Linked DNA regions of Elephas maximus indicus. The protein of the gene in region 1 interacts with the protein of each later gene in a pairwise test. Links are inferred from orthologs where the notes say so. Each region holds a gene or a part of one and is shown in the gene's direction. Other genes may lie near its edges.

The links.
Region 2: the proteins of DISC1 (region 1) and ATF4 interact in binary tests that used the Homo sapiens proteins (3 or more experiments, as listed by UniProt). The link is inferred for Elephas maximus indicus from reciprocal best matches to the Homo sapiens genes DISC1 and ATF4.
Region 3: the proteins of DISC1 (region 1) and KIF3C interact in binary tests that used the Homo sapiens proteins (3 or more experiments, as listed by UniProt). The link is inferred for Elephas maximus indicus from reciprocal best matches to the Homo sapiens genes DISC1 and KIF3C.

The regions. Positions count from the first base shown.
Region 1 is NC_064842.1:32,964,903-32,972,555, reverse strand, and holds the start of DISC1 (disrupted in schizophrenia 1 protein), read left to right. Parts: upstream 1-4,632; 5' UTR 4,633-4,660; coding exon 4,661-4,940; intron 4,941-7,653. UniProt on the Homo sapiens protein: Involved in the regulation of multiple aspects of embryonic and adult neurogenesis. Required for neural progenitor proliferation in the ventrical/subventrical zone during embryonic brain development and in the adult dentate gyrus of the hippocampus.
Region 2 is NC_064822.1:183,485,910-183,493,074, forward strand, and holds ATF4 (cyclic AMP-dependent transcription factor ATF-4), read left to right. Parts: upstream 1-4,471; 5' UTR 4,472-4,660; intron 4,661-5,334; 5' UTR 5,335-5,426; coding exon 5,427-5,652; intron 5,653-5,735; coding exon 5,736-6,571; 3' UTR 6,572-6,653; downstream 6,654-7,165. UniProt on the Homo sapiens protein: Transcription factor that binds the cAMP response element (CRE) (consensus: 5'-GTGACGT[AC][AG]-3') and displays two biological functions, as regulator of metabolic and redox processes under normal cellular conditions, and as master transcription factor during integrated stress response (ISR).
Region 3 is NC_064830.1:44,033,710-44,040,580, reverse strand, and holds the start of KIF3C (kinesin-like protein KIF3C), read left to right. Parts: upstream 1-3,859; 5' UTR 3,860-4,518; coding exon 4,519-6,057; intron 6,058-6,871.

The DNA.
Region 1 (7,653 bases):
TGGTCCTTAACCCCGACTGAACTTTAGAATCACCTGGCTATAATAAATGACCATGTACTCCTATGGTAAATGACACATACACCTACGGTAAATGACCGTATATTCTGGTGGTTTTTCAGAATTTCCCTATATCTTGTTGCAAGGTACCCTTCTTCAGACTTTTGTCACATTATATGCCTTTGTGTCTCCAGAGCTTGACCTGGTCTGTTATACATAGTATGTGTCAATAAATACTTGTCATTTTAGTGGTAGTAATATCACTCACCAGGTTTTCCTTTAATATCACTCATCTGCCCCAAAACCTTCCATAGCTTCTTACTGTCTACGGATGTAGATCTTAACCCTTCTTATGTCACAAACTCTTTGATAAGTTGATTAAAGTTATCTTAAAAGACAAATAAAAAACAGATGGAAACAAAATTTTGCACATATTTTCAAGGGTTCCATGAACCACCGAAATCATCCATGGACCTCTACAGGGGTCTGTGGGCCCCAAATTAAGAATAAGTCACCCAAAAGTGACAAGCCCATATTCCTAAGCCCAATCAAGCATGCTCACATTCATTCTGTCCCATAACACACCAACTTTTAAGCACAGCTATGGGTTTTCACCCCCATGAGTCTGTCAGTTTGTTGTACCGTAGGGGCTTGTGTATTGCAGTGATGCTGGAAGCTATGCCACTGGTATTCAGATACCAGCAGGGTCACCCATGGAGGACAGATTTCAGCTGAGCTTCCAGACTAAGACAGAATAGGAAGAAGGACCCGGCAGTCTACTTCTGAAAAGCATTAGCCAGTGAAAACCTTATGAATAGCAGCAGAACATTGTCTGATATAGTGCCGGAAGATGAGCCCCCCAGGTTGGAAGGCACTCAAAAGATGACTGGGGAAGAGCTGCCCCTTCAAAGTAGAGTCGACCTTAATGACACGGATGGAGTAAAGCTTTCGGGACCTTCATCTGCTGATGTGGCACGACTCAAAATAAGAAGAAACAGCTGCAAACATCCATTAATAATCAGAACATGGAATGTATGAAGTATGAGCCTAGGAAAACTTGAAATTGTTAAAAATGAAATGGAATGCACAAACATTGATATCCTAGGCATTAGTGAGCTGAAATGGACTGGTATTGGCCATTTTGAATCGGACAGTCATTTAGTCTGTTATGCCAGGAATACAACTTGAAGAGGAATGGTGTTGCATTCATCATCAGAAAGAACATTTCAAGATTTATCCTGAAGTACAACGCCGTCAGTGATAGGATAATATCCATACACCTACAAGGAAAACCAGTTAATATGACTATTATTCAAATTTATGCACTAACTACTAAGGCCAAAGATGAAGAAATTGAAGATTTTTATCAGCTTCTGCAATCTGAAATTGATTGAACACGCAATCAGGATGCATTGATAATTACCGGTGATTGGAATGCTAAAGTTGGAAACAAAGAGGAAGGATGTATAGTTGGAAAAGATGGCCTTGGTGATAGAAACAATGCTGGAGATCGAATGATAGAATTTTGCAAGACCAACGACTTCTTCCTTGCAAATACCTTCTTTCACCAACATTAACGGTGACTATTTTTTTTTTTTTATACACATGGACCTTGCTAGATGGAACACGTGGGAATCAAATCAACTATATCTGTGGAAAGAGATTATGGAAATGCTCAATATCATCAGTCAGAACAAGGCCAGGGGCCGACTGTGAAAACGGACCATCAATTGCTTATATGCAAGTTGAAGCTGAAACTGAAGAAAATCAGAGCAAGTCCACGAGAGCCAAAATATGACCTTGTGTATATCGCACTTGAATTTAGAGGCCATCTCAAGAATAGGTTTGACACGTTGAACACTAATGATCAAAGACCAGACGAGTTGTGGAATGACATCAAGGACATCAAACATGAAGAAAGCAAGAGGTCCTTGAAAAGACAGGGAAGAAAGAAAAGACCAAGATAGATGTCAGAGGAGACTCTGAAACTTGCTCTTGAACATCAAGCAGCTAAAGCAAAATGAAGAAATGATGAAGTAAAAGAACTGAACAGAAGATTTCAAAGAGTGGGTCGAGAAGACAAAGTAAAGTATTATGAAGACATTTGCAAAGACCTGGAGACAGAAAACCAAAAGGGAAGAACACGCTCGGTGTTTCTCAAGCTGAAAGAACTGAAGAAAAAATTCAAGCCTCAAGTTGCAATAGTGAAGGATTCTATGGGGAAAATATTAAGTGACGCAGGAAGCATCAAAAGAAGATGGGAGGAATACACAGAGTCATTATACCAAAAAGAATTAGTCGATGTTCAACCATTTCAAGAGCTGGCATATGATCAGGAACCGATGGTACTGAAGGAAGAAGTCTGAGCTGCTCTGAAGGCATTGGCAAAAAACAAGGCTCTAGGAATTGATGGAATATCAACTGAGATGTTTCAACAAATAGATGCTGTGCTGGAAATGCTCACTCGTTTATGCCAAGAAACATGGAAGTCAGCTACCTTGCCAACTGACTGGAATAGATCTATATTTATGCCTATTCCCAAGAAAGGTGATCCAACCGAATGTGGAAATTATAGAACAATATCATTAATATCACATGCAAGCAAAATTCTGCTGAAGAGCATTCAAAAGCCACTGCAACAGTGTATCAACAGGGAACCACCAGAAATTCAGGCTGGATCCAGAAGAGGATGTGGAACCAGGGATATCATTGCTGATGTCAGATGGATCCTGGCTGAAAGCAGAGACTACCAGAAGGATGTTTACCTGTGTTTTATTGACTATGCAAAGGCATTCGACTGTGTGGATCATAACAAACTACGGATAACACTGCGGAGAATGGGAATTCCAGAACACTTGATTGTGCTCATAAGGAACACATACAGAGATCAAGAGGCAGTTGTTCAGTCAGAACAAGGGGATACTGAGTGGTTTAAAGTCAGGAAAGGTGTGTGTCAGGGCTGTATTCTTTTACCATACCTATTCAATCTGTATGCTAAGCAAATAATCCAAGAAGCTGGACTATATGAAGAAGAATGGGGCATCAGGATTGGAGGAAGACTCATTAACCCCCTGCGTTATGCAGGTGGCACAACCTTGCTTGCTGAAAGTGAAGAGGACTTGAAGCCCTCATTAATGAAGATCAAAGTCCACAGCCTTCAGTATGGATTAGACCGCAACGTAAAGAAAACAAAAATCCTCACAACTGGACTAACAAGCAATATCATGATAAATGGAGAAAAGATTGAAGTCAAGAATTTCATTTTACTTGGATCTACGATCAACACTCATGGAAGCAGCAGTCAAGAAATCAGAAGACGCATTGCGTTGGGCAAATCTACTGCAAACAACCTCTTTAAAGTGTTGAAAAGCAAAGATGTCACCTTGAAGACTAAGGGGTGACTGACCCAAGCCATGGTATTTTCAATCACATCATATGCATGTGAAAGCTGGAGAATGAATAAAGAAGACCGAAGAAGAACTGATGCCTTTGAATTGTGGCGTTGGCAGAGAACATTGAATATATAATACTGCCAAAAGAATGAACAAATCTGTCTTGGAAGAAGTACAACCAGAATGATCCTTAAAAGCAAGGATGGCAAGACCGTGTCTTACATACTTTGGAGAAGGACATCGTGCTTGGTAAAGTACAGTGTCAGCGGGAAAGTGGAAAAGACTCAACAAGGTGGACTGACACAGTGGCTGCAACAATGGCCTTCAGCATAGCAACCATTGTAAGGGTGGCACAGGACCTGGCAGTGTTTCGTTCCGTTGTGCATGGGGTCACTATGAGTCGGAACCGACTCCACCGCACCTAACAACAACGCGTTTTCGCTCACAAAATTCTTACCATTGAAGGGACCTTAAAAAAAAAAAAAAGGGACCTTAGCCCTCCTTTAATTCTAGCAAGATCCTTCCCATCCCTCCAGAAGTCTTACTGACCCTTTCTCTTCACCACACACTCTCCCACTTCTGAACTTCTGCAACACCTTTGTGCTAAGCCCCCGGCACTTGGCATATTCTGTTGTATGATGCTATTTTTTACAGGAACATGTTTCGTCTTCCTGACCGGAGGTAAGCTCTGAAGAGCAAGAAACCATTTCTGGCACTTCTTTGCTCCCACTGTCCTGTAGCGGGTGCTACATAAAGGTGCTGCAACAGCCTCTTTGAATCAGTCAAAGAGAAGCAGCGAAGGAGGTGAGTGTAGCTGGTCTAAGAGCTTGGCAAGGATTATCATCCTGGAACGGAACCGCCTTACATTGGGTCACGGATCTGGAAGCAACCAATCTAGTGTTGAACGTGGACTCACAGCTCATTCTTCGAACAGCTGCTACCACTGATACCTTTCCTAGTGTCACCTCGCATCTCTCCCTTTTCCCCTCACCTTTTTTTTTTGTATAAGTTAGTTCTCTCATTCATCCATCGACTCCCACTCATGCATCTGGGGGCGCCCTCGTGTACACTTAGGGCCTCACAGCTTCTCCTTCGCTGTGACACCCGTCCTCCCAGCGCACTTCCCCACTTGTCTTCCTCCAGAAACTGAGCGAGAGTAAAAAGGGAGTTTTCCATCCAGGTACAGGGAGAAGGGCTGGGCCCTGGTCCGGCGCGCCCGCTGCCGCATTCTGCGTGAGTGTGGGTGTGTGTGGGGACGAGGGCTGGGCAGGATGCCGCTGGCCGTAGAGGAGGAAGCCGGCTCCCCTTCTTTGGCCGCCCTTTCCCCACTTCCCTCCCAGCTCGGCTTGGGTCTCTGGGGGAGCCGGGGCGGAGGAGGAAGAGGTCGAGGAGGAGGAGCCGGCGACCTGGAGCCCACCCCCGCGGCCGCTGGCAGCAGAGAGGAAGCGACGGGGCGGCGCGGCCGGGCCATGCTGGGCGGGGGTCCCCCGGGCGCCCCGGGTGGCTGGGCCGGGCGCTGGGAGCGACCCGGCTCCGGGAGCCAAGGCGCAGGTAGGAGAGCGGCGGGCCGGCCCCGGGCGGTTCCCCAAGCGACCCCTCCGCGTGCCCCGTGGCTGGGCCCAAGGAGGGACCCCGGAGGGAAGAGTCGGAGAGCGCGTCGTGACCGCCGAGGGAGTCATGCGGGCCGGGTGCTCCCTGCTAACTCGGGTTCCGTTCAGCCCTCTCGAGGGAGGGTGGGAGGAGAACTTGGTCCCGCGTGCCGCGCCCCGCGCCGGACCAGTATGTGTGCGCTCAGGGCGAAGCGGAGGCCCGGGTACGACGGCGCGTCAGGCCCGCTAGTACCGCGGCGAGGCGTGTCCGACGTGTACAGGGGCGAGTTTGTGTTTCGCTCCTTCACAGGCACCGCCGCGGCCTGAGCGCGCCCTTCGCTGGCGCCCCGCACTCGCCGCTGGCAGACGCGCGCGGCCGGATCCGACGGGCCCTCCTCCGCGCGCACGGGGCGCGCTCTCGCCGGTCCCGCCGGGAACCTGGAGGGAGGAGGTGGGGGTGGAAGGAGGAATGCGGCGCTGGCACCGCCCCAAGGGCCTGCTCTGTCAGTGATTTCACCGCCCACTTCCGATTTCGAGGCGGTAACGCCAGGATCTGAGGTTCTTTCACTGTCCCCCACGCTCCTCCCTCCGCCCGCGTGTGACAGTGTCCGTTTCCACTGTCAACTCTAGTGATAACCCTGAAGTCGTTAAGGTGGATGGTTGCTTTTCAAGAATGACCGGGCTTGTGGACGTCTCACTCTTCAAATAGATGCAAAGGAATTTGAGGATCTCCGGAGATTTAGAGTCAAAAGAGCTGCGTGGTGGTTTTGCTGGATCAGGAAAGAACTTTACACGAGTCATGAGTCACGTAACATCTCTGAGCCTGGGTTTCCTCAGATGTAAAAGGAGAGAGCTAATACCTGCCCTCCGTGGCTCATAGATTGGTGTGTGTGAAAGCACTTTGAATGTATACCTGTTTCACAAATGTCAGTTGGACAGCCAAACCATACCAGACCCATTGCCATCGAGTTGATTCCGACTCATGGTGATCACGTAGGAGCTTGCCCGGTAGTGTTTCCAAGGAGAGGCTAGTGGATTCAAACTGCTGAATTTTTGGCTAGCAGCAGAGCTCTTAACCACTGTGCCACCAGAGCTCCAGTTGGGCAGCACCAATGTCCTAATAACTGGTGTTTGGAGACAGTTTGCCTACATTCCAATCCTGGACTTCCTGTGCCTCAATTTCCTTATTTGTTAAATGGGCACTCTGACCGTACCTCCCTCATAGGGTTTGTGAGGTTTCAATGAAATGACTAGGTGGAACACCTAGCCCAGTGCTGGAGATATACAGTAAGCTCTCAAATAAACAAAAAACAAAACAAAAAAATTTACTTTTACCACACTCAAATAAACAAAACAAAACTCCTAAGCTGTTATTTTTTCTAAAGCAAAATAATTTGAAGTCATGTGGAAATATCAGTTTGAGTCGATTAAAGTATGAATAGCAGGATAGTTGAAAAGCAATTCAGTTTTATCACATTCAGGGGCAGAGGCTGTAAATGCAGTCATTTGGGGGCACTTAATCTTTGCAGAAGTAGACTGTCACATCTTTCTCCCGGGAGCAGCTGGTGGGCTCCAGCAGTTCTACTGTGTCCTATAGGGTCACTAGGAGTCAGAATTGATTCTGTGACAACAGGTTTTTTTGTTTTGAGGTCACGGTTGAGAATCTGTGCCACCAAGCAAAAGAGCCCTGGACAACCAAAAAAGCCAAAGCAAACCCATTGCCATGGAGTTGATTCTAAATCATAGCGACCCTATAGGACAGAGTAGAACTTCCCCATAGGGTTTCCAAGGAGAGGCTAGTGGATTCGAACTGTTGACCTTTTGGTTAGCAGCTGAGCTAGCGCCTCCTTTCTGGGCAGTGTGACCTTGAGCCTCACTTTTCTCATCTGTTTAAAAAAAGATAAAAGAAAAATGGGAATAGTAATTATGGCCTTTTGTACTTAAAGAGGTGCTGTGAGGATCAAATGAGGTAAAAGATCTGAAAGCACCCTGTAGACTGAGTTGCCACACAAATATAAGACATTAGTTTCTAATAGGGAATAACAATACCAAAAAAATCCAAACCCGTTGCTGTTGAGTTGATTCCGACTCATAGCAACCCTATAGGACAGAGTAGAACTGCCCCATATGATTTCCAAGGAGCGCCTGGTGGATTTGAAAGGCCAACCTTTTGGTTAGCAGCTGTAGCTCTTAACCGCTATGCTACCAGGGTTTCCAGGAATAAAAATACCTGCAATTTTTTATAAATTTATAATGTGTTAGGCACTCTATTATGAATTCCTTTGATAACATACTCCCCCAAAATGAGGTGGGTGTTACAATCCTCATTTTCCCTATGGCAAAGCTAAGGTTCACGGTCACCCAGCTTTTTCCCAAGGTCACATAGTTATTAAGTGTAGAGCTAGAATTAGAACTCAGCTGTATTCTCAGTCACTGGCTGCACTGAAGTTATCAGGCTAAGCCATGGTTCATAGCAGGCCTGTGTTAGATTATAGATCATGGTACATCATACTAATACAGACCAGTTGCTGTCATTTGATTCTGACTCATGATGACCCCATGTGTATCAAAGTAGAGTTGTGCTCCATAGGGTTTTCAATGGCTGATTTTTCAGAAGTAGATTGCCAGGCCTTTCTTTCAAGACACCTCTGGGTGAATTTGAACCTCCAGCCTTT
Region 2 (7,165 bases), on another chromosome or scaffold:
TCACAAAGAGCGCCTTTCTGAGAATGCCTCTGTCATCTAACCACGTCAGCCACAAAATCAAACACCGTAGTTTTGTCACTTTACGAGCAAGAACCTCTTAGAAGTCCTGAGAATTTCCACCCACTGGCACTTCTGGCCTGTTCTGGAGGGTTTGCTGATTGGGACTGGGCAAGCCGCTCTTTGCTGCCATTTTCCTCCTCATAAAAGGTGGAAGATGGTTAAGCGTTTTGAGATTCTTGGATGGAAGAGGGCGACGTTGTTCTGCCTTGTTTGTTTTTTCAAACTTTAGTTACAGATGGTAGTGGCTTTCCCCTGCTCTGCCTCCTTATTCAGTAACCCCTATCTTTGCCTGAAGTAACAGAATCTGCTCCTGCTGTCTGGAGGGTTTGTGCACCATTTAGGTTAGCAAACCACACAGTGAGCCTCAGGCTTAAAAAGACACTCGTTATTATCCTGAAAACCCTATCAAAGGTTTTTTTGGTTCTTCCTTGTTGCCCCTTCTTAAAAAATGAGCTCAGAACAGTGGATATCTTTCTTTCTTTTTACAATTGGTTGGGGCTTTTTTCTTTAATAAATTAATGTCAAAGTTTATGTTTGGTAAACTTGTGTTCACACGCCAGATTAGCTGATTTTGCTCCCGTGTTCTCCACTCAAGCTGAGAGCTCAAGTGGTTTTGATGAGGAATCAGGTTTAGGATCAAAGGGCCCTGGAGGGTCCCTGCAGATGATTTTCCAGGTGGGGAACCTTGCATGTGTCCAGATTGCTCTGCTAAGGTCCTTAGGACTAGGGCCCTGGCTGTGAACTTCACTCAGAGGATTTGCTAGAGCTCTGCCCTTCCTTCCTGAAGTTAACAGACAGGGTAAGAGATATTTAGGCAAAGGCTGACCCTGCACTGGGCTGTGAGGCTGTAGCCCTGTTAGACACTGCTGGACTAACACAGTGACCAAAATACCAGGGGTTATTCTCGGGTAACTACAGTCAGGTTGGTGTTTACTTTTTCATTGTGACTTTAAATTCTTGGTCCTGAGACCAAGTCCACAACTTGCCTTGTAGTCACTTGGCTCTCCTTCAGTGCATTTGATACGTATAGCTGGTCAGTCTGGAGCCTATCACCAGTCTTTCTGTCCTGGCTTGGCCAGGTCCATGCAGGAACAGCTTAGCCTTGAGGCCCAGAGAATCACTATTTTTCTCCTTGAGGGAGGAAATACAGCTGGGGAACATGATGTCCTTCCACAGCATGGGAAGAAGAAAATAAAACTTTGCAACAGCTTTGACTTGTGTGCGTGGCAGGAAACATTTTCCTCTGGGAGTGGAACTGGGTCTCCATTTTCAGTGAGAACCTTTGAAGGACTTGACCTGGGTCTCTGTAATAGAATGGATGGGACAGGCTGCCACCGGAGTCATTCTGCCATGGCCTCTGCAGTGCCAAAACTAGGGCAGTGTTCAGTAAATTCAAAACCAAACTCATTGCCGTCAAGTCAATTCTGGCTTATAGCAACTCAGTAGGACAGAGTAGAACTGCCTCATAAGGTTTCCTAGGCTGTAAATCTTTGCAGAAGCAGCCTGTCCCATCTTTCTCCCATGGAGCAGCTGGTGGGTCCAGACCACCAACCTTTGGGTTAGCAGCTGAGTGCTTTAACCACTGTACCACGCCACTAGGGTGCCTCACTTAAGTCTCAGGCACCTGCATGATCATCAGGCCGGAGGCAACGAGAAGTCTTGTGATAGAGCAAGAGGAGGACACTCCCCAGGGGCCCTTAGTTACTCTTTAGAAGATTGTATAAGGGCTCAGGGGCTCTCGCTGGCTTTGCCTGAAAGTTTCGACAACTTCCTGTATTTCAGCACTCATGGTTCCCAAGGGGAAGGAAGAACCACTCATTTATCCCAGCATCTAGTATTCCTTGCATATCTCTGATGCTTCAAAAATAGTCCTTGGTTTCATCTGTCAGTAAAGAATAGTGAAGTCCCCTGAGGAAGCAGGATGATACAATGGAGATAAGGGCAGAGAGACTGGGAGGTCAGGATCCCAAGACCTGAGTTCTAATAGTAAGAATAGCAACCATTTACTGAGCACTGACCGTGAAGCAGGCACGTACTTTACCTGTATGACCTCATTTCATCCTCAGAGGATAGGTACCATCAGCAGCCTCATTTTACAGACGAGGAAATTGAGGCTCACAGAGGTTAAGTCATTTAGCCAAAGTGTCCCAGGTAATAGTAGAGCCAGGATTCTTTTCGGTTTGGCTCCCAAATCTGTCTTCTAACCCCACCCGGAAACCCTGGTGGCATAGTGGTTAAGAGCTACGGCTGCTAACCAAAAGGTCGGCAGTTCAAATCCACCAGGCGCTCCTTGGGAACGCTATGGGGTGGTTCTACTCTGTTCTAAAGGGTTGCTGGGAGTCAGAATCGATGGCAACAGGTTTGATTTTTCGGGTTTTAACCCCTACCCTGGAGTCCGTGGGTGGTGGGAATGGTTAATGCGCTTGGCTGCTAACTGAATGGTTGGAGATTCAAGCCCACCCTGAGGTGCCTCAGAAGAAAGGCTTACTTTGAAAAATCATCCATTGACACACATCAATTGACTTGATAGCAACTTAAAAAAAAAAAACTACATACTGCCTCTAGTGGGAGCTGGGTGACTGGGCAAGATGCCTCATCCTGTTAGGCCTCAGTTTAGTATTGTTTAAAATTTGTTGGGCTAGATTGAATCAAGTCAAAAAATGGTCTGTAGTTCTCCAGGACAGTGCTTCCCAAGTGTTTTTTTTTTTTTTTTGACATCATAGCCGTGGTAGAAATAACTATATGGCACACTGATGAATGGAGGAGGAAACCAGGCCTCTGCTGCAGGCAGGGGATGAGGGCACGGTTGGGAGGTTTCCCAGCACTCTACAGCTCCATCATAGAGAGCAAGTCGCTGGCCCAGACTGAGACAGCCGCACCCAAACACACCAACCCCCAGCAAAGGGACATGGTTCTCAAGCTTCTCTCCTCACAGGGTCACTAGGATGACTTCGTGGGAAGTTGGTCATGCTTGGGAGTGACAGAACTGGGAGTTACTGAAACTATCCTAGTGCGAGAGATGCCAGGTGAATAAAGTCTCCCCGTGTTCTCAGAGGAATTGCATCTGCATAAACTGGAAGAAATTCCTGCTTGACTGCATACTTTTAAATGAGTGGCAAACACAGTTTAGCAGAATGGATATTGTAAAACACAGGTTGGGCGATAAAGTTACGCACAAGGAGTTGAGGGTGAGGACTTCGCGCTGGGCCTCGACGGTAGGGGGGCGTGGGTCTAGTGATCTCCCAACTGAGGTCCGAAGATTTAGCGCCCTCTCCCCGCCCCTCTCAGCTACTGGAGGGCTTGCAGTAGTGAATGCACATATGTAATGACATTTCCCTTTTGACATAGTTTTATCCTAGGGACTCCCTCGGAGCCCGCAGAGGACCCACCAGAAGCCAGTCAGTGAATGATGCCCGCGGCCCCGGGTGCTCTTGTCTCTCTTGAATTCATGTCATTGCCTCAAAGCATTTTTATTGCAGTTAACATTTTGTTTGCCGTTTTTCTTTGCTGTAGCAACAAGGCTCCCCATTATTTCTGGGGGCAATTTTATTAGCTATTAGTGGTTATCTCTAGCGGACAGTCAGCTGTCCGTGTGGGATCGCTCGGCAAGATAAAGGGTTGCACTAGGTAACTTCCAGGGCCCTTCCAGGGGGGAAGTCAACCCCATGTGTACAAACAGAACAAAAGATGGGCGGAGGAACTTGGGGACAAAGAGCCCGGCCTGGCGTTGTTTCGTCACGTCAATGAGGAAGGGAAGGGGCCGGGCCCTAATGCCACTGTTTGGGGCGCCCTGGGCTACAGCTGCCCGGAGACGGGTGCTGGCGCGGTCGTGGGTGCTGGGCGGCCCGGACTGAGAGGCCGCCCCAGCCGCGCGTCTCCGAGAAGGGGCAGCGAAGGGCCGAGGCCGGCGGCGGGAACCGCGCTGACAGCTCTGGCCCTTCCCGCGCGGGCCTGGGCTACGTCACGGAGCAGCCCGCCCACCTCGTCCTGATCCAATGGGAGCCCGAGACACGTGTAACTCTCCATGCCAGGCCCAATCAGCTCGACGCGCGCTCCCGCCAGCATCTCGCGCGATAACCGGGCGGCTTGGGATGAGAGGCTTCTGTCCCCGCCCCTCGGCTGACTCCGGAAGCGAGGCGACCGAGGGATTCCTCCGCTCTCCGGGGCGCCGAGCGTCTAATCTTAGCAGCCTTGTAAAGTAGTGCGCCTCTTTCTTTTCGCGAGGCCTTGAGAATAGCTCATTTTCTTTTTACAGTTACGTCCTGGACCTAAAGACCGTGGGTTGGAAAAGATCAGGGAGTCAGATAGGCGAAACCTCGGAGGTAAGAGGCGAAGGTCACGTGGCCAGGGCGGAGGAACATGACTGTGGTGCGGCCCGCGCCGGCGTGTATAAAGGGCCCGCGAGGGCGCGGCGGCCATTTCTCCTCCCGCCTTCAGATGTAGAGCAGAGACGTAGCCCGCGCCTTCCCTCCCCGCCCGCAGGGTCCGCAGCCGTCATGGCGTATTAGAGGCAGCAGTGCCTGCGGCAGCGTTGGCCATTGCAGCGGCGGCAGCAGCACCAGGCTCTGCAGCGGCACCCCCCAGCGGCTTAAGCCATGGCGTAAGTACCGGGGTGGGGCCCGCTGGCCGGGCGTCCCGGGCCGGGCGGACGTGGCTGGGCCGGGCGCGGTCCTGGGGCCGGGCGGCGTCGCGGGGGCAGGAAGCTGTTTTACGAGGCGCCGGCGCCGCGGGAGCCCTGCTGGGTGTCCCCGAGACGCCGGCGCCCTGGGTCGGGGGGAGCGGCCGGCGCCGTCGGCCGGCGAACGTGGCAGGAGCCAAGATGGCGGCGGCGGGGCGGGGCGGGGCGCGGCGGGGGCGCCGTGGCCGGATTTGGGCAGCGCGGGGAGCGCCTTCCCCGGGGCGGGGCGCCGTGGCCGGATTTGGGCAGCGCGGGGAGCGCCTTCCCCGGGGCGGGGCGCCGTGGCCGGATTTGGGCAGCGCGGGGAGCGCCTTCCCCGGGGCGGGGCGCCGTGGCCGGATTTGGGCAGCGCGGGGAGCGCCTTCCCCGGGGCGGGGCGGCGGCCGTATTTGGGCAGCACGGAGAGGGCCTTCACCCCGCGGCGGGGCCGGCTGAGCCGGGACGCAGCCAAGGGTGCTCGGTGCCTCCGAGGCCACGTGCGCCCCACTCTCCAAAGCCAAGCGGGCTTCCCACGCGGCCGTCCTGTCTCAGGGCAGAACGATGAGGTTCCCAGACGAGCCCGTGTCTGATGGGCCTTCGTTCCCGGCTCCTTGCAGGCTTCTCACGGCATTCAGCAGCAGCATTGCTGTAACCGACAGAGACACCTTCGAATTAAGCACATTCCTCGATTTCAGCAAGGCCCCGCGTTATGGCCGAGATGAGCTTCCTGAGCAGCGAGGTGTTGGTGGGGGACTTGATGTCCCCCTTCGACCAGTCGGGTTTGGGGGTTGAAGAAACCCTAGGTCTCTTAGACGACTACCTGGAGGTGGCCAAGCACTGCAGAGCGCATGGGTTCTCCAGGGACAAGGCTAAGGCAGGCTCCTCCGAATGGCTGGCTGTGGACGGGTTGGTCGATGCCTCAGACAACGGCAAGGGTGAGTGGCTGTCCTTATCCCCCGGCGTGGTCTGGGTCACTTGTGCTTGGGGAGAGTTGATGCCACTTTTTTGTGTCTTGTAGAGGATGCCTTCTCCGGAACAGATTGGATGGTGGAGAAAATGGATCTGAAGGAGTTTGACTTCGATGCCCTATTGAGTCTAGACGACCTGGAAATTATGCCAGCCGAGCTTTTGGCCACGTTGGATGACACCTGTGATCTCTTAGACCCTTTAGTCCAGGAGACGAATGAGCCCCCCCAGACATTGAACCCAATTGGTCATCTCCCAGAAAGTTTTCCCCAAACTGACCAGGTTGCCCCATTGACCTTCCTGCAACCTCTGCCCCATTGCCCCGGAGTCCTGGCCTCCACTCCAGACCATTCTTTTAGTTTAGAGCTCGGCAGTGAAGTGGATATTTCCGAAGGAGATAGAAAGGCAGATTCTTTTCTGTATGTTACCGCGGTCCCTCAGTGCATAAAAGAGGAGGAGGCCCCTTCAGATAATGACAGTGGCATCTGCATGAGCCCTGAATCCTGTCCAGGATCTCCCCAGCACAGCCCCTCCACCTCTGGGGGCTCTCCAGATAGGAGCCTGCTGTCTCCACCTGCTCTCGGTGGCTCTGCTCGCCCCAAACCTTATGATCCTCCTAGAGAGAAGGTGGTAGCAGCAAAAGTAAAGGGAGAGAAATTGGATAAGAAACTGAAAAAAATGGAGCAGAACAAGACAGCAGCCACTAGGTACCGTCAGAAAAAGAGGGCAGAGCAGGAGGCCCTCACGGATGAGTGTAAGGAGCTAGAAAAGAAAAACGAGGCTTTGAAGGAGAGGGCGGATTCTCTGGCCAAGGAGATCCAGTATCTGAAAGACTTGATAGAAGAGGTCCGCAGGGCCAGGGGGAAGAAAAGGGATTCCCTAGGGTAGTCAGGAACGGGTGCTTGTATATAGGAGGCTTGCGCTGAAGCTGTGTTGTAATAAATTATTTTGTAGTGAAAGTACTTATGTAGATGTGCTGTGTATCGTAAGTTTTTTTGATTTGTGGCTAAAATGATTCACTTAACCCTTCCAGGAGTGGGTTCTGGTCCTTCATGGGGTCCAGGGGTGGGTGAGATCATTACTGAGGATCACAGGTTTGATAGGCTGTTTGGGTGGGGTGGGTCATGGAAGGTGATGGTTTCCATTGGGTCCCCGAGTTTCAGGCAAAGAGTTGGGCTTGAGCCCAACAGCTGGCTGGGTGTTTTTCTGGAACTGAACTCTTAGGGTTTCTCTTACCAGTAACCCATTGGGGTGGGGCTGGAGAGTTAGCCCTCAGGACTTACGGGACAGCTGGGAGGGCAGAACTTCCTGGTCTTGTTGACACAACCTTGGCTGTATTTTAAGCTTTGCCAGCTCTGTAAGCTGTTTCCCTGAAGGGAACCTGTTCAGACAAAAGGCTTCAGATTTTAAAGTGGGCCTGGAGGGCTGAGAATTGTCTCAAATGACCAATCCCAATGCGGTGGAGTGGAATGGACGAATGCC
Region 3 (6,871 bases), on another chromosome or scaffold:
AGTCATACAAGTCATGAGAAGCAAGAGTTCCTTGAAGGAGGGGAAAGTCAATTGTGTCAAATGCCTCTACTGAAAAAGGTCTACCAGAATTGGCACCATGGAATTCAGTGCTGTCCTTGGTAAGTCTACTGAGTGGTGGGGGTACAAGTCATATGGTATTGAGCTGCAGAATAAATAGAAGGTAAGGTGGTGCAGAGAGAAATAGACAAAATTAGGAGAACATTGCAGGTAGAGGAGCGGCATGAGCAAAGGCAAGGAGACCCCCCCCCCAAAAAACAAACTAGGATGTTCCAGGGACCTCAAGCAAATCAGAGTGGCTCGAGCTTTGAGGGTGAGGGGAGGAGGAACAGCTAAACACAATGCTGAGAAGGGAGACAGGATGTGAACAGCTTTGAATGCAAGGACAAAAAGATGGAAAACTATTCCTTGAGTACCTTCTATGTCCTTGGAGTTCTCACTTACATTATCTCACTTAATGGTCCTTAGGCCCTGTGGATAAGGTAAGCATTCTTATCCTCAGCATTTTTCCCAATGAGAAAATAGCTATTCAGGGAAGTTAAACAATTTATTCATGGTCAAAACCAAAATCAAACCCATTACCACTGAGTTAATTCCAACTCAGAGCAACCCTGTGGGACAGAGTAGAGCTACCCCATAAGGTTTCCAAGCCTGTAATCTTTATGGAAGCAGATTGCCACATCCTTCTCCTGAGGAGCTGCTGGTGGGCTGGACCTGCTGACATTTTGGTTAGCACTTAACCACTGCACAACCAGGGTTTCTTACTCAGGGTCATACATCCTATAAACAATGGTATCCCAATGTCCCTCTGATATAGGCAGAGCTGGGCAATCGCCCTGCCAAGTGATACATTAGATGGGGAGAGCAGGGTGGGGATCACTTTTACCCTGGTGGGTAGTGGTTAAGAGCTCGGCTGCTAATCAAAAGATTGGCAGTTCGAATCTACCTTTCGCTCCTTGGAAACCCTATGGGGCAGTTCTACTCTGTCCTATAGGGTCGCTGGGAGTCAAAATCAACTCCACGGCAACGGTGTTTTGTTTTATAGTGTCAGGGGAGCCCTGGTGGCACAGTGGTTAAGAGCTCAGCTGCTAACCAATAGGTCAGCAGTTCAAATCCACCAGACACTCCTTGGAAACCCTATGGGGCAGTTCTTTTCTGTCCTGTAGGGTAGCTATGAGTTGGAATCGACTGATGACAACTGGCTTGATTTTTGGTTTATAGTACAGGGTCACTATGAGTCAGAATCAACTCAACAGCAGTGGATTTGGTTTGGTTTGGTTTTAGTGTCAAGCAGATTAACCAAAGCAGAGAAAGCATAGTCCAAAAACCAAAGCCAAGTGCAACAATAGTTCAAGAGCCAAATGGGTCTTAGGTTGCCAGAGCCAAGAGAGCTTAAGTCTACAAAGTCAAAACCTCATTCAGTTAATCATAAGAGGTAGAGCTTGATCAAAGGCTGAGGAAGGCCAGGAAACTTCAGAAGTGGGCAAGCAAGCAGCTAATCCTCAAACCTCCAGCCTAGCTGACATTCAGTTCCTGGGGACTGGGAGACAGGCGAGAGGTGAAGTGATAGGCTTAGTAGAGTTGAAGGACTAAACAGGCCCTCTAGAGAATAACAAGATTGAAAATGTTTTGTAGAAAGGCTATTATAAAGCCTCTGTGAAGAACAGCCTTGAGATTTCAGATCATAGCACTTCCTTGCTCTTTTCCGTCTCTAGGCGCCGCAGGGAGAGGAGCTGCCGCCATGTCTGCCTGTTTGCGGTGGATGGCGGTGTGTAACTGCTCCAGTTTCCTGATCAAGGGAAACAAGCAGACTACAGCACCGAGCCCAGTACCCAGAAGGCCTGCAACTCTTTCCGCTACAACCAGCTGACACACCTCAAGACTGTGGGCGTGCAGCCGGCAGCCGAGGGCAAAGGGGTAGTGGAGGTACTGAAGCGCAGATGGGCCAGCAGAAGGCAGCCACCTCCTACGTACGACCACCATCAACAAAAACGCCTGAACCACACTCAGCACCATCTGGCACGTGATCTGCAGGAACAAGTACCTCCTGGATCTGTGCATGGCTGCCTGTGCATGGTGATGGTGCAGAGGAAGCGAACTGTCCCACCAGGGGTTCCTGAGCGCCCCCCATACCCCGCCCCAGAGCAATAAAAATAACTTTTCTCTGAAAAAAAAAAAAAAAAAGATAAGCTCCTCTTTGATCTTGATCTCCGGTGGGGAGTAAAGACAGTTTGGTGTCCGTCCGTAGATTCAACTCACCTCTGCAGAGTGGTACATGGATAGGACTGGCTGTACTTGAGGAGTTACGCTTAATTTGCACCCTAGAGGGGGAAAATATGAAGATTCCATAAGCCCAGTGCCGTCGAGTTGTTTCCGACTCATAGCGACCCTAAAAGACAGAGTAGCACTGCCCCACAGAGTTTCCAAGGAGCGCCTGGCGGATTCGAACTGCCAACCCTTTGGTTAGCAGCCGTAGCACTTAACCACTATGCCACCAGGGTTTCCGAAGATTCCATAGAAGAGCACAACATGCAGACCTGGATATTCAAGGAAGCAGGAGCTATAAGGTAATCCAAGGCAGGCCAGGTGCAAGTATTAAGTGCTTGCTTTATAAGTCTTTTCATGGTTATACTGCTTTGTGATTCATTGTTCCTTGTTTCCTTTGAGGCACACAGCCACTCTCTTAAGTAGGTATTATCCCCCACCCACCTCTCCGATTTTTTTTAATGGATGAGGAAATTAAGGCTGGGGCAAAGAAAGTGCTCAAAGTCATACCTTGGATGGAGGTCCGAATTGGAACGTGAATTCAGGATTTGCATTATGCAAATTCTGTGTCTCTTTCTTGCTGTGGGAGAGCAATTGGTCAGGGAAGGCTTCATGGAGGAGGTGGTGCTTGAACTGCCCAAGTGGCAGGGAACCAAGTACAAAAGGGTGACAGGGTCCTCTGGACAAAGGCACAGAGATGCAACACAGCACCACCAGTTAAGGAAACAAATCATAGTTCCTAGAACTGAGCACCCTAAGGACACCCTAAGGACAGGAGTCCAGCTTCTAGAATGGAGCCTGAGGCTTAGCAGGTGCTCAATAACTATTGGTTGAAAAAAACGAGCATCTGAAACATAGATTCTGTATAGGAGAGTAGCTGGTGGCCAGGCTAGGAAGTTGGGCAGGAGTTAGAAGATGCAGAGCCTTGTATACAACATGGAAGGTGGGAGAAGGAGGAGGAGAGAGGACCAGGTGCACCTGTTGTGACGAAATGGAGAACCAGCTGGAAGGTGGCTCCAGGAGAGCTAAGAGGAAAGCGTGAAGTAAGCCAGGGTAGGGAAGAGAAAGGACAGAGTCAAGAGACATTTAGAGGTCAGGCTCCACGAGGCCTGGCAACACCCTGAAGGAAAGGGGTGACATATACCCGTCTCCAGGCAGAAAGGCAAGAGCAATGGAGAGACCAAGAACGGTGGCTGTTCAGGGAACAAGTGTGGGTGGTGGACACCCCCACAGGGAGCCTGCAATCTCAGCAGTCACTCCGGGGGTTGCAGGCCGGAGAGGGAGGGGCCACCCGGACTGGAAAAGGCATTAGCAACCTGCCAGCGCCCGGTTAACAAAGGCGGGACTACAACTCCCAGCATGCTCGGCCCGGTGGGGTGACGGCGGGCGGTGGCTGCGCTGCACCGGACTGGCGGGCGCAGGACCTGGGTCGGCACCGGAGCCTGTCATCACCGAGGCTTCGCGGGGGTGCGGGGCCGGCGATGCCCGGCTCCCCGCCGCACAGCGGCCGCGCCCAGCTCGCGTCTCCGGCCCCGCGGCCCCGCCCCTGGCCCCACCCCAGCCGAGAGGCTTCGCCGGGGCCGCAGCGCGGCGGCAACATCACTCTCGCGCCGCTGCTCCGCCCCATCCCCTTCTGTTTTTCTCTCATTCTCGGGTGGCGGCGGCGCTGAAGGCGGAGGCAGAGGCAGCAGCAGCCGCCTTGGCTGCAATGAATGATCCCCCAGCCGAGGGGGAGGACTCCAGGTGAGCCTCTGCCCTCGGGAGGGCCGGGACCCCCCGCCGCCCAGGATCCGCTGCCTCCGCTATGGATCCCTAGAGCAAGGAGGAGGAGGAGAAGACAGCTCTGCTGCCCACCCCCATCCCATTTTCCTCGTCCTTTATCTCATTGTTGCGGTCGCTGTTTACCGCAGCGCTGCCTCTGCCCCAGCATGGGGCGGGCTCCGGGCACTGCCATTCGGCCGGTAGTGCTCCTGCTGTTCCCTCGGCTGCCCGGGGATTCTGCCTAATTCTACCCCCCTGGCCGGTGCAGCAACGACCGGAGAGCAGTGGAGGCCCGGACTGCAGCAGCGGTGGTGCCATCTCCCCGCATCCCCACCCTAGGAGGCTGCAGGCGGATTGAAGATCGACGCCTGGGGGCTGGGCTGGCCCCGCGGATCCGGACCTAGGGAGGAGGACAGAAAGACCGTCCAGGCTGCAGAGGGGAGCGGGGAGGGGCAGGAAGGGCAGAGCAGCAAAATGGCCAGTAAAACCAAGGCCAGCGAGGCCCTCAAGGTGGTGGCCCGGTGCCGCCCCCTCAGCCGGAAGGAGGAGGCTGCTGGTCACGAGCAGATCCTAACCATGGATGTGAAGCTGGGCCAGGTGACCCTGCGCAACCCCCGCGCTGCCCCGGGGGAGCTGCCCAAGACCTTCACATTTGACGCCGTGTATGACCCCAGCTCCAAGCAGGCAGACCTCTATGATGAAACTGTGAGGCCCCTGGTAGACTCGGTGCTTCAGGGTTTCAATGGTACCGTGTTTGCCTATGGGCAGACAGGCACTGGCAAGACCTACACCATGCAGGGCACCTGGGTGGAGCCCGAGCTCCGTGGGGTCATCCCCAATGCCTTTGAGCACATCTTCACCCACATCTCCCGCTCCCAGAACCAGCAGTACCTGGTCCGGGCCTCCTACCTGGAGATCTACCAGGAGGAGATTCGAGATCTGCTCTCCAAGGAGCCAGGCAAGAGGCTAGAGCTGAAGGAAAACCCTGAGACGGGTGTCTACATCAAGGACCTCTCCTCCTTTGTCACCAAGAATGTCAAGGAGATTGAACATGTGATGAACCTGGGGAACCAGACCCGAGCAGTGGGCAGCACACACATGAACGAGGTCAGCTCCCGCTCCCATGCTATCTTCCTCATCACGGTGGAGTGCAGTGAGCGTGGCTCTGATGGCCAGGACCACATCCGTGTGGGCAAGCTCAACCTGGTGGACCTGGCTGGCAGTGAGAGGCAGAACAAGGCAGGCCCCAACACAGCTGGAGGGACAGCCGCCCAGTCCTCGGGGGGCAGCGGTAGCAATGGAGGCAGTGGTGGTGGTGGAGAGAGGCCTAAGGAAGCCTCCAAGATCAACCTGTCACTGTCTGCCCTGGGCAACGTGATTGCTGCCTTGGCAGGCAATAGGAGCACACACATCCCCTACCGGGACTCCAAGCTCACCCGACTGCTCCAGGACTCTCTGGGGGGAAATGCCAAGACCATCATGGTGGCCACACTAGGGCCAGCTTCTCACAGCTATGATGAGAGCCTTTCCACCCTGCGCTTTGCCAACCGAGCGAAGAACATCAAGAACAAGCCTCGAGTGAATGAGGATCCCAAGGACACGCTGCTGCGGGAGTTCCAGGAAGAGATTGCCCGCCTCAAGGCCCAGCTGGAGAAAAGGGGGATGCTGGGGAAGCGGCCCCGGAGGAAGAGCAGCCGCAGGAAGAAGGCTGTGTCTGCCCCAGCAGGGTACCCTGAGGGGCCAGTGATCGAGGCCTGGGTGGCTGAAGAGGAGGATGACAACAACAACAACCACCGCCCGCCCCAGCCCATCCTGGAGTCAGCCTTGGAGAAGAACATGGAGAATTACCTACAGGAGCAGAAGGAGAGGCTGGAGGAGGAGAAGGCAGCCATCCAGGACGACCGCAGTCTGGTGAGTGAGGAGAAGCAGAAGCTGCTGGAGGAGAAGGAGAAGATGCTGGAGGACTTGTGGCGGGAGCAGCAGGCCACAGAGCTGCTTGCTGCCAAGTACAAGGTAAGGCCCCAGAGGGAGTGGTGGACTCGAGAAGTCCCCAGGGGTCTGTGGGTCTTTGAGGATCTGTGGCCCGGCATGCAGTGGGGTATCCTCCCTCAACATCACACACTGCTTTCCTGCCAAATGTACTCCTGGAGCAGCCAGGCAGATTCCTGTGATACCAGACTGACAGGCAGAGCCTCCAGGGAGGGCTTGGAGGGGACACACACACACACACTAAGCAGAGCAGAGCAGACAGGTGGTCTCAAGCCAAAGAGCTTGGGTGGTGACCTGCTGCCTGTCAGTCTCTAGTGGTAGCCCCAGTATGAGGTCAATGGGATGGCCAGGCTCATCCTCTCATGAGTGGGGGTTCTCCTGACTAGCCTTCTCCCCTGTACCTTCCTTCCTCTACTGCATCTTCAGACCTGACATCATTTTAATGATATCTGACATTTGGATAGCACCTCACAGTTTACAAAATGTCCCCACGTACATGATCTCATCTGATCCTTAGAACAGCCATCCAGGTTGGCCGTTCTTACACCTCCATTTTACAGATGAAGGATTAAGACTCAGAGAGTGACAGGACGAAGGGTCCATTTTACAAGGTGGCAGGGCTGAGCTGGAACCTGTAGGCCTCATGTTTGTTCAGCTCTTGGGTGGCAGAATGGAACCATGAGTGGATCCTGTTCCCTGTGAAAATTGTCCACTGGGCCCATGTGTGGGGCCCATTGCTTTGTGTCATGGGAAGGAGATTCAAAGGGATCACACAGGAGGTAGGGTAGAAAGAGCACCAGCATGTATAATGGAGACCTGGAGTCTAGTCCTAGCCATT